Drosophila melanogaster: one gene and its partner. Changing the gene in region 2 together with the main gene of any one other region gives a genetic interaction. Each region holds a gene or a part of one and is shown on either strand. Other genes may lie near its edges.

The links. Genes that interact genetically often act in the same process or in processes that back each other up.
Region 1: of Mks1 (region 2) and dgo, changing one enhances a phenotype caused by changing the other (phenotypic enhancement), as found in Drosophila melanogaster (one study listed by BioGRID).

Annotation. Positions count from the first base shown.
Region 1 is NT_033778.4:10,815,484-10,821,686, forward strand, and holds dgo (diego), read right to left. Parts: upstream 4,402-6,203; 5' UTR 3,809-4,401; intron 3,621-3,808; 5' UTR 3,618-3,620; coding exon 3,558-3,617; intron 3,492-3,557; coding exon 3,066-3,491; intron 3,011-3,065; coding exon 713-3,010; 3' UTR 554-712; downstream 1-553. Other genes in the region: Prosbeta5 (proteasome beta5 subunit), read left to right, coding at 4,590-4,736, 4,799-5,500; Lsm10, read right to left, coding at 5,702-6,127.
Region 2 is NC_004354.4:12,493,882-12,498,174, forward strand, and holds Mks1 (meckel syndrome, type 1), read right to left. Parts: upstream 2,717-4,293; 5' UTR 2,681-2,716; coding exon 581-2,680; 3' UTR 514-580; downstream 1-513. Other genes in the region: mdu (meduse), read left to right, coding at 3,692-3,712. UniProt on the Drosophila melanogaster protein: Probable component of the tectonic-like complex (also named MKS complex), a complex localized at the transition zone of primary cilia. Required for ciliary structure and function.

The DNA of each region.
Region 1 (6,203 bases), on a different chromosome or scaffold from region 2:
ATTTATAGAATTTTAAATTAACTACGAAGACATCGAGAAATCATCATTAGGCACTTGCTAAAATTGTACTAACAATACCGCAGACATATTGGTGAACGATATCAAAATGTTGCCCAATTTACTTGTTTACTTTTGTCAGCGGTGGGGATTTGGTTTTTTTGAATTCCCACCAAACATCGGAGCTCGATTATTGAGATGATTTCCTGGTTGATTTCGTTTACACAATTATACAGAGTTCATAAGCCGCATGTCTATCAAAACACCAAAATGATCTGTTATCAATAAATATATGTACTTGACATTCTGATATTTACACATGCATAAATACTATTATTAAACATTTTTAAAGAAAAATATATTTTGATCGAAAACATTCGGTTGCGTTTGATTTACAAGCGAGCAGGTTGGAACGTTTTTAATATTTTGGGTATTTTTGGGGTCAAAAGTGGAATAACCAAATAATTAAGTACACGATATTCTCATAAATTACGCAGAATATGAAAACACTCAGACCCAAAACTCCTCAACAAAAAACAACAAAATTATTGTACATATATCTTTGTATTATATTTATATATTTTAGACCCTCCAGATTAGATGCATCAGTTGAAAATAAGTTAACTTTTCTTTGTAGTTTAAAACTTGATTACAATTAAGATAAATATGTAGGGATTAGCTATGTACAATGGGAACAGCTGTGGGATTACCGAACTCAAACTAGACTCGAGACATTGTTGTAGAGGCCAACGGCAGACAGCTCGTCCAGATCGATTTCATTGGATGGAAGATTGGGATGAGGCCAGTTCCTTGGCCTTTGATTAACATGGGGCGGCACAATGGCCTGAAAGGTGGGGGACTGCAGAGGCCTATAGGCTACCGCATCCACGTAGTCCACTTGTCTTGGTGGAGCATTTGGATGTGGAATCCTTCCCACGTAAAGATCTTCACTGCGATAGAGACTCGCATTTGGTACGTAGCCGGAGTGCAGCCTTCTCTGCGGAGTTTGCGGAATCGGTGGACGGTGGGGCAGTTCATGGAAGTAAGCATCTTTGGGTATGTGTCTCTCGGGCAGCCCAAACTGGGCGCTACTCCGGTGGGGAATACTATACGTGGGCGAAGGGTTCGAAGAGGTGCCCTCCAAGTGATGGAAGTTATTGTTCAAGCGGGAGTGTGATCTTGCGGCGATCACATGTGCCGTCTGGGAGTCCTGTCGATTGGAGTCAATGGTGTTTTGCAGTTGGGCCACCATATCCCTCACCTGACCAGCGTTCGGCTTCTTTAGGCACTTGATTTCACTGTTCCGAATCTCCACCTTACTCATACTTTCATTGCCATTTTGACGCACTTCTGTTTCCTCGGCGTACTCCATGATGGGATTGGAGTAAAATAAATTCGACATGACGGGATAGTTGTCTTCCAAGCAAAGAGGCTGCCGTTTCATCAGATTGGAGATACCTGCCGCCTCGCTCGCTTGCTCCTTGTAGAGCAGCTTGTCGCCTCCCATTCCCTCGGCAGTTTCATTGACAGCCGTCTCCTCTTTGCCCAGATCCGCGAAGGAGGCATCTTTTCGAAGCGCCTTGATCACCGAGTTCAGCATGTTCTCTCCTCTCCCAATGCGCTGGTAGTACTTATTGTAATCCGGGTGGGGATTGCTGCCCGTGGGTGATGCCTCCCAGTCCCAGCTGTTGGAGTTCTGGGAGGGATTTGAGGTCTCACTGGAGTTCGGATAGCGTCGTATCACGTTGGCGTACTCGTCGAAATTGGGACTATTAACACTCTCTTTATCTTCTCGAAGTTGGGCAGACTCCGCCCTTGGATGGGGATTATAAGGTGGCGATAAGGAAGAAAGCTGGCGCTTGCTCTCCTGTTCGCTGTCCCTTTCCATGATCAGGGTGGTTTTCTCTAAAAGCACTCCCAGTCTTTCGGAGACTTTTAGGAAATCTAGCTTAAGTTCATCTAGCTTCGAGTGCTCCTCTGGTTCCGCCTCTTCTTGCACCTGGTCCTTGTCACCCACTTCTGCCTCTTCTTCATCCCGAGCTTCATTGGAATCGTCATCGCTGTCGCTATCCACCTGGACCTCCGCTGATCGGTGTACTATAGCCTCCACTGCCTGATCTTCCAGGACATCTACACTCCGTGAGTTGGTGAGCCTACCACCTTCGTGGTTGTTTTCCAAGAGCTCTAGACTGCGGCACCTGGACATTGTTCTTTCGATCCTTGAGCTCTTGTTCTGCTGATCGAAGGTGGACCGCATAGGTTCACCTCGTCGCAGGAACTCACTGAGGTGCTGCCTCTTGCTCTCGCATCGCAATCTGTCCTCGATCATCGTTCTTGTGAGCTGTTCAATCTGATCGTTCGTCTTGATTGCCAATGCCTGAACTTTGTGACCTAGACGTTCCTTGGTTTTGTGAACGTATTTCTTCAAACTCTTTCGATTGCAATTTAGTTTGTTTTCAATGTGACGGAAGAAGGGACCGCAATAGCATGTGTTGCCCACGCTGACCGGACCCTTGTGAATATGACCAGCCAAATCCAGGAAGTATTGCTCCCCCGACTTAAGTGGCTCCTTGGGCAGTGTCTCCAGTTTTGGTGAAGGAAAGGCACGCGGATCGGGAAAGTAGTGACAGCCATAGGGTGACCAGTTGATACCCTTGTCCACCACATCCCTTTCACGATCTCTGTCCTTGTCCGATCTGCTGCCGCCCTCCTTGGGTTTCTCCTTGCGATTCCGTATCTTCTTCGGCGTGTTCAGGATCTCGATGATTTCACGGTAGTTCTTCCTGATCGCTATGTGCATGGGGCAGTCGCCTTGTGCGTTTTTAATGCCCAGCCGAGCATCTGCCTCTAGGAGAATCCTTGTCAGCTTCCTGCGACCCATGGCACAGGTGATGTGCAAAGCGGTGTCGCCGTTCAGATTTGTTTTATTCGGATCGCAAAGGGCGGAGAGCAGGATCCGGGAGACTCCTGCATGTCCATATCTGCAGGCGGTGTGCAGCGGAGTATCTCCATACTGAAATTGTTAAACATGTTAAACATGGTTATCACTGATATGATCCAACACTTACATTATTCCGGACATCGGGATCGGCGCCGGCCAGCAGTAGCTCCCTAGAGCTCTGATTGTGACCATTTTGAGCGGCCAAGTGCAGGGCGGACAACCCTTCGTTGTTGGCAATACCCAGGGCGCTATTGTGTAGGGCTTCGATGGTCTGGTGGGCCACCTTCACTCTGCCCTTGTTCTTATCCTTGTCTTTGTCCTTCTGTCCCTTTGCTGCTTTTCCCACCCCCGAGGAAGCGGGTGGCGTGGGGGGCGTGCAGATCAATTTCACGCAGCGACTGAACCCCCGACTGGCGGCCTCATGGAGCGGGGTATTCCCCTGCACGGATTCCCTGGCCAGTCGATCAGCATTGCTGAACAGGAGACCCTCCACCCGGCGATCATCTCCGGCGGCTACCGCCTCGTGCAGCGAAGTCCAATTGCTGGAGTCGGGCTTAAATCAGAAAAAGAAGTTACATCGGTGTAAGATTTGTTGGTTCAGGCAAGTGCCCTTACTTACCCCGGATATCGCATTCGGGAGAGCTTCCTGTTTCGGAATGCGGGAGGATCCATGCTGCATTGTCTGCGAAAATATTCATTATTTATCAAATTTGTTAAATTATAATTTCATTCATTTATCATGATGTGTTGCAATTATAACTTTTTAAGTAACACTTTATCAAAACCAGATAAAATTAAAAAAATTATTTATATTAGAACTACATTTTGTCTTTAATAAATGAAAAATCTTACTTAAAGTACCGTAATTACCGTTAGAATCGTTTATATGTCGAAAATCATATGAAAGATGGTATTCTTTGATATAACCTTGTTGACGACGAAAGAGCTTAACTTGACCTGGGATCAAATGAATCTGATCTTCGATCGCACATTTTCTAGCCGTGTATGCGCATGTATGTGTGCCTCACGTAATGGCGTACCACGTAGTAATTGTCATTACAAATAGAAGTGGGAGTTACCAAAAGCGATCAAATAAAGGACTCGTAATTTGAAATACAACCTTTTTGAGGGTAGATTAAATGTCTTTCATTATAACACATTGATAAAACATGTATGGTTTCTTAAATGTTCAACACTATTACAGTAAATTTCTAGACCTGAAAACCAGGTTTAAAGTGCGCCTAGGTTTTCTCGATTCCCGACTTACTTTTCACTAATTTTAAATCCCGTCTTTGGACCGCAATTTACGCATTGCAATTCGCCACTCTCACGTATTTACACATGTTTACTTTCGACTATTGTTCAGTACCCGACTTTGCAGTATTTGGCCATTGATGGATTGATGGAACGCCCAGAGTTAATTTGGCTTCAAGCCAGGCCTAAAAAGAGACTAAAAGAAAGCCAATCACAGGCAAAATTGGCAACAGGTTTCGAGCTGGGTTGCCGTACCTGCGACAGCTAACGGTGAAGCCGATAGTCTGCATTATTGCTCCAACAGAAGTACGGTCACTCTACAAGTAGGCAACGAATTTTGTTTGTCATCGGCATTTCGCATTCAACGTTTCCAATTGTTTTTTAAGGAGCTTTAAGAATGGCTTTAGCTGAAATCTGCAAGATATCGAATGCTCCGTACATGCGGCCCAATGCCTGGTCATCGGCGGATGTGGAGGAAGAGCAAAAAGGGCTTATGTGCAATCTGGCCAATCCCTACACACTGGCTGCTCCGCCATTCGAGAACGTATGTAGTTAATTAGCTGATCTTCTTGGGAAATTTACTAAAAAATTTGACAATTTCCTCAGCCCCTGCACAACCTTAATCAGATCCAGGCCAATGGCGACAAGACCGGCGTCAAAATCAACTTCGATCACGGCACCACAACGTTGGGCTTCAAGTTCAAGGGCGGCGTTCTCCTGGCAGTCGATTCCCGTGCCACGGGTGGATCGTACATTGGCTCCCAGTCGATGAAGAAGATCGTGGAGATCAATCAGTTCATGCTGGGCACCTTGGCCGGTGGCGCAGCCGATTGCGTTTACTGGGACAGGGTCCTTTCGAAGGAATGCCGCCTTCACGAGCTTCGAAACAAGGAACGCATCTCGGTGGCCGCCGCCAGCAAGATAATGGCCAACATTGCCCACGAATACAAGGGAATGGGTCTGAGCATGGGCATGATGCTGGCCGGTTACGATAAGCGTGGTCCAGGCCTCTACTATGTGGACTCCGAGGGATCTCGCACGCCTGGCAATTTGTTCTCTGTTGGTAGTGGATCGCTGTACGCCTACGGTGTCCTGGACTCTGGCTATCATTGGGACCTGGAGGACAAGGAGGCCCAGGAGCTGGGACGTCGCGCCATCTACCATGCCACCTTCAGGGATGCCTACTCCGGTGGTATCATTCGCGTGTATCACATTAAGGAGGACGGCTGGGTAAACATCTCCAACACCGACTGCATGGAGCTGCACTACATGTACCAGGAGCAGTTGAAGCAGCAGGCCGCTAAGTAGAGTTTTGATTAAGGGAATATAAGATATTCAGTTTGTATACGTTTGAATTTCTTGGAATAAATAAACGTGCTAGAGACTATGTTTTGTGTATAATTGATTGGGCTAATTTGTTTTGCTTTTCATAGGTTTATTACTATAAATGTAGTTGTATGTATGTAATGTATTTTTGGTAAATATAACAAGTACGCATATATTAATAGTTTAGGTTTCCTTATTCTTTTTTTGCTGTGAGATCATTTGCAATGTTTCCTTGTGTCGCACTTCCGCTCGTTTTTGCTTGAATGTCCGCTTTCCGCCCTTGGTTTCCACTCGCTTTCTTCGCAGGACTCCCCGTTCCATTGCGCTTCGAAGTTCCTGCTCGGCATCCAAGTACGAAGGTATGTGGATCTGCCGTATCATTCGATTCCGCACCATAAAGTGATCAAAGGGGTGCTGACCACCATTGCGATCGATGAAAACTGCATGGGTGAGCTCGCAGGTCATGTGTCCATCCGCTACATCGATGATTCCGGCCACAGAGGTCTCGTTGTGCAGATCGATCAGTACGGAATGACCCTGCAGCATCACGGGCCAACAATTTAAGGTGTTGGACACCAAATACTTCTCCCGCGCACTAAACTGCTGCATTATATCGATATGTTTAAAAATAAGTGTTTGCTCTTGGACACGGAGCTGCCAACTCGCTTCATAAGTAATTTGACAT
Region 2 (4,293 bases):
ACAAATTTAAAAATAATTGCCTGAATATTGAATGTCATACCTCAATGAGCTCGTAATTAAATTTCCCATCAAACTGTGTCAAAAAAAAGGAATTCTATTTTTTTGCTATTTTTTTCAAATTTTGATGATGTTACCCCTTACAAAAAATGAGAAAATTGACTCAAAAATAAATTTTCCTAAATCCCTCAAAAAGTGATTGGGGTCGTTAGCAATGGTAATTAGCTGTCCAAAACTGTTTACATTACATCTTAATGATTATTATTAGCAAAATTATGATTAAAATTCCCATCGAAAAATGTATGAAATTTTGCCAATACCGTTTTTCCGATTTTTGAAATTAATATTATCGGTTTTTTTTTAAATAGGTGTCTGAATATATACCTCTTTGAGCTCGTTCTTAAATAATCTATCCAAAATATTCCACATCAAATGTACATACATATGCTTCTCACGTTTTTTACTCATACATAAAAAAAAATACGTCTTTCATAATATAATTAATTACTAATAATTATACAAATATTATAGTTTATATAAAAAAAAATTATTTGTCATCATATTATTGTACTCATTGAAGGGCTTAAAACTCAGCCTGGTAGTATGCAGATGATGGTGAGGCTGTTTCTGAACTATTTCCCAGGAGCAGCTCGATCCGTTTCCTGGCCTCCACAAAGGCGGCCATTACTTCGTCCAGAGTGGTGGCCCTCGAAGTATCCGGATTTGAACTGGATCTGACATCGTCATCATTGCTATCGCCATCGTCGCTACTATCGTTGCCGAGTTCCAGATGGAAGTGGTGATGGAACTGATCAGATGTGTCTATTTGGCGCTGCTGAAGCTTTTGAAGCCGGAGCGAAAGTGTTCCCGTGGTGGTCATTGGCCTGTCAGAGTTGAAGTTCAAACGGGAATGCATTTCCGATTGCCGATGTACATCGAAGAAGGACTCAAAGTCGAACAGCTGACGACCGCCTATGAAATACCGATTGAGGGCATCCAGCCAGTTGCCCAGTGGTCGGATGCACTGCAGCCGTATGGAGTCCGTTGGCAGGGCGGATGTTAACGGTATCGCATAGTGAGCATATCCCTCACATCGCTCCCGCTGCCAGCTATCTATGCTGATCACTTCAAAATATAGATGCAGTAGATCAGCCGGATGATGTTGTTCCTCCAGCAGCAGGGTCACCTGCCAGCAGTGACCCAAATGGGCACTCCTCCAGTCGCCGGCATTCCTGCACGTGGCCGTCGCTCCCTGCATGGTATCCACCCCAGGTGTACCCTCATAAAAGGTATTTGCTGGTGCTTTCAGATAGTATCTTACATGTATGTTGGGGTTCTCAAAGTTCTGGCCTTCCTGTAGTTCCAGCAGCAGGCTGACCCGCTTCATCCTCTTGGGCGGCATTTCGAACTGGAGGAGACTTCTCCTCTCGCTGGCTGCTTCTCGCCGTCTGCGATAAAACTCGAGTATCTCCTCGGCGGAGGCTTCTTCGGGCAGATCTTCTTCGATGGGTAAACCATCGCCCAGTTCCTGCTCATCCTCGCCATCCGCCTCCTCAGAGAAACCATCATCGTCGTAGGCCTCTAGCGGTGTGACATTCTCAAAGCCAAAGGCATACAACTGTCGGCAATCGTTATTCCGCTCGATCTGAATCACATAATCCAGATCCTGGGCACTGCTACTGAAATCCGGATAGACATAGAGCAGACCCTGTTCGGGATCATATCGTATACTAACCAACAGTGTGTCCTGCTGCAGATCGGCATAGATGTACATTAGCTGATAGCCCTTTTTATGGAATTCACTTGCTTCGGCGGGCATAAGACTCTCGGAATCATTATCCAATAAGGTGTGTATGAGGCACGTTCTGGCGGCAAAATTGGGGTCATCCAGTATTGAAACCTCCGACATATTCGCCGAGGACAGACTGGTAATAGTCGGGTGAGCTGCGGCAGAGCAGCCTCTCTGCTTCGCCTTGGGCTTTCGTATCCGGCGACGAATTGTAATAGGCTCAGGATCCTCCACCGTCTCTGCATCTTCCAGATTCTCCAGTTTCCTTAGATATCGCTGTTGTAGCTTCAAGGTTTCCAAGGCCCACCTGTGATAGCGCCGCTGTAGTTTCGAAGCGCAACTTCCAGGATTGTTTATATATTGCTCCAGTTCCGCTTGACTAAAGTGCTTTTGCTGCCAGGATATGCGTATTGTGGCTATAGCACCATTGCAGAGTTCCTTATTCCGTTTATAGAAGAGATCACCAGCGGGAGGACGACTATTATCACTGAGAATGCTCCACGACCGATTACTTTGGGACTCCAGATCCGTTATTTCTCCCTCGTTCTTATCCTTTTCCATTTCCCCCTCATGCTGAGATATTGGACTCCTTCGTCTCCTGCCGGTGTAACCAATTCCCACATTATAATAACTGCAGTTGTAGCCCAAGCCAGTCTTCCCTCCACACGAATCATCGCCCTGGGGGACATGAATATAGCAATCCTGCCAGATATCTTCCTCCGATCCGGGATAGTGGTCACCATATGCGTTCGTCGATTGCGCTCCCGCGTATTCAAATTTGGGGACCGGCAGCCATTCACTGATGTGTCGCAGCTTCAGTTCCAATTGCAGATCTCCTATGTTTCCGCTCACGCGATAAACTCCAGTGCGCTTTATGTCTCTGCTTTTTTGCATGATTCGCCGATGATTATTTTGCCCAGTAAATTTTTAGTTTCTTTATTCAAACCTCAAAGAATGTAAATGACTGGCCTTCTTTGTTTGTTTTCCATTTTGTTATGTTTTGTTTATGGTTTTTGAATTACCGTTGCCCAGGTAACCAATCGATTATATACCGAAAACCAACTATTGTTGCCGTGACAACCATGAAGGCCGATAACTGTCTTTGAAATATGATAGCTAGAAAATAGCCGAAATTATATTAGCTGCTCAATAAGATTTTTATAAATTTAAATTGTACAAACTGTAATTTATTCATTTATTTTATTATAGCCACAAATACAATGTCAATTAGATTGGAAATAATAAACATACATTACACAGCTAGCACTGAACATTTTTAAGTTGTATATTTTTTATTTAATAACTTACAAATAATAATTAATGCTTTGTTTCCAAACGAAATAATTCAGAATGGTGAATGGATTCAAATCCAATTTCAAGCGAGATAGCTAAATCTAGCTAGATAGCTGCACTGTCGCCAGCCCTGGAACATACCAACTCCGCTTCGGTATATTCGATAGGCTTATCGATTGCTCGCGAAGCTTTGCCGCTGTGTTTGTGTTATCGTCGGCCGCTTTATGCACTCCACATTCCTCGTTTCATTTTGGCCGCCAGTTGTGTTTTCGATTGCTCTGCGTGCTGGTCGTTCCTCCAAGTCTGCAATTCTGCACAATTTTACAATTATTCTTCGCGCGTACTCCAACTCCCCATTCATCCGTCTGTTTGTTTGGTTGTTTCCTTTCTTCGTTGCACCTTTTGCGCGCGCGCAACCGCCGATAAACAGAGAAAAGAAGAAAAGGAGAAATTCTGCAACAAACACTGGAAGTGCAATTTTAAGTAGACGATCCCGTGAATGTTTTCCAGTTGAAACATTTACTATCGTTTCATTTTTTTTTTAAATTTTGTTCTGTTAAGTGTTGAAAAAAAAGTTTTTGCAGCCACAGCAAACTAAAACTTTTCATCAAAATGCAGCAGAAAGTCGAAGAGGTTAGTAAATAATAAAAACATAATAATAAGTTAATAATATCTAAGATCTTGGTGTATATGAAATCAAGACAGACTGTTGAAAATACATGCTATGTTTGTTTGTTCTTCACCAAATGAAGAAAGTTTTAGGTAATTTCAGAAGCATTAAAAAGACATTAAGTAGGAACCTAAAAGTAAGCAAAAACTAGTGCATTTTATATTTCATTACTGAGGAAAAGTCTTATTACATATATTCGTTAATGTTAAACAATAACATTTTACGATTATAGTTTACGAAATAATCGTTAATTTCCAGCAGATGATTACATTAGATTTGCAGTTTATGAAGTTGTTCTTGTATTTTCTCTTACTTTTTTTTTTTGGTTTTTGATTTTACTCCACCCATTACCCATTCTCCTATCTCCTTTGCTTCCCTGCATTCTCCTGTATTTCATTGAACTTAGTACGCCCCCGATGCTGCGCTGCTTCTGCTGGCGTCGCTGCCGGCGTCGCTGTCGCTGCTCTGCCGTGACGTTCCATTGACTGATTTTCCCGACTTTCCGCAGAAAAAAAAGAGAAAAAAAAGAGAAAAAAAAAAACGA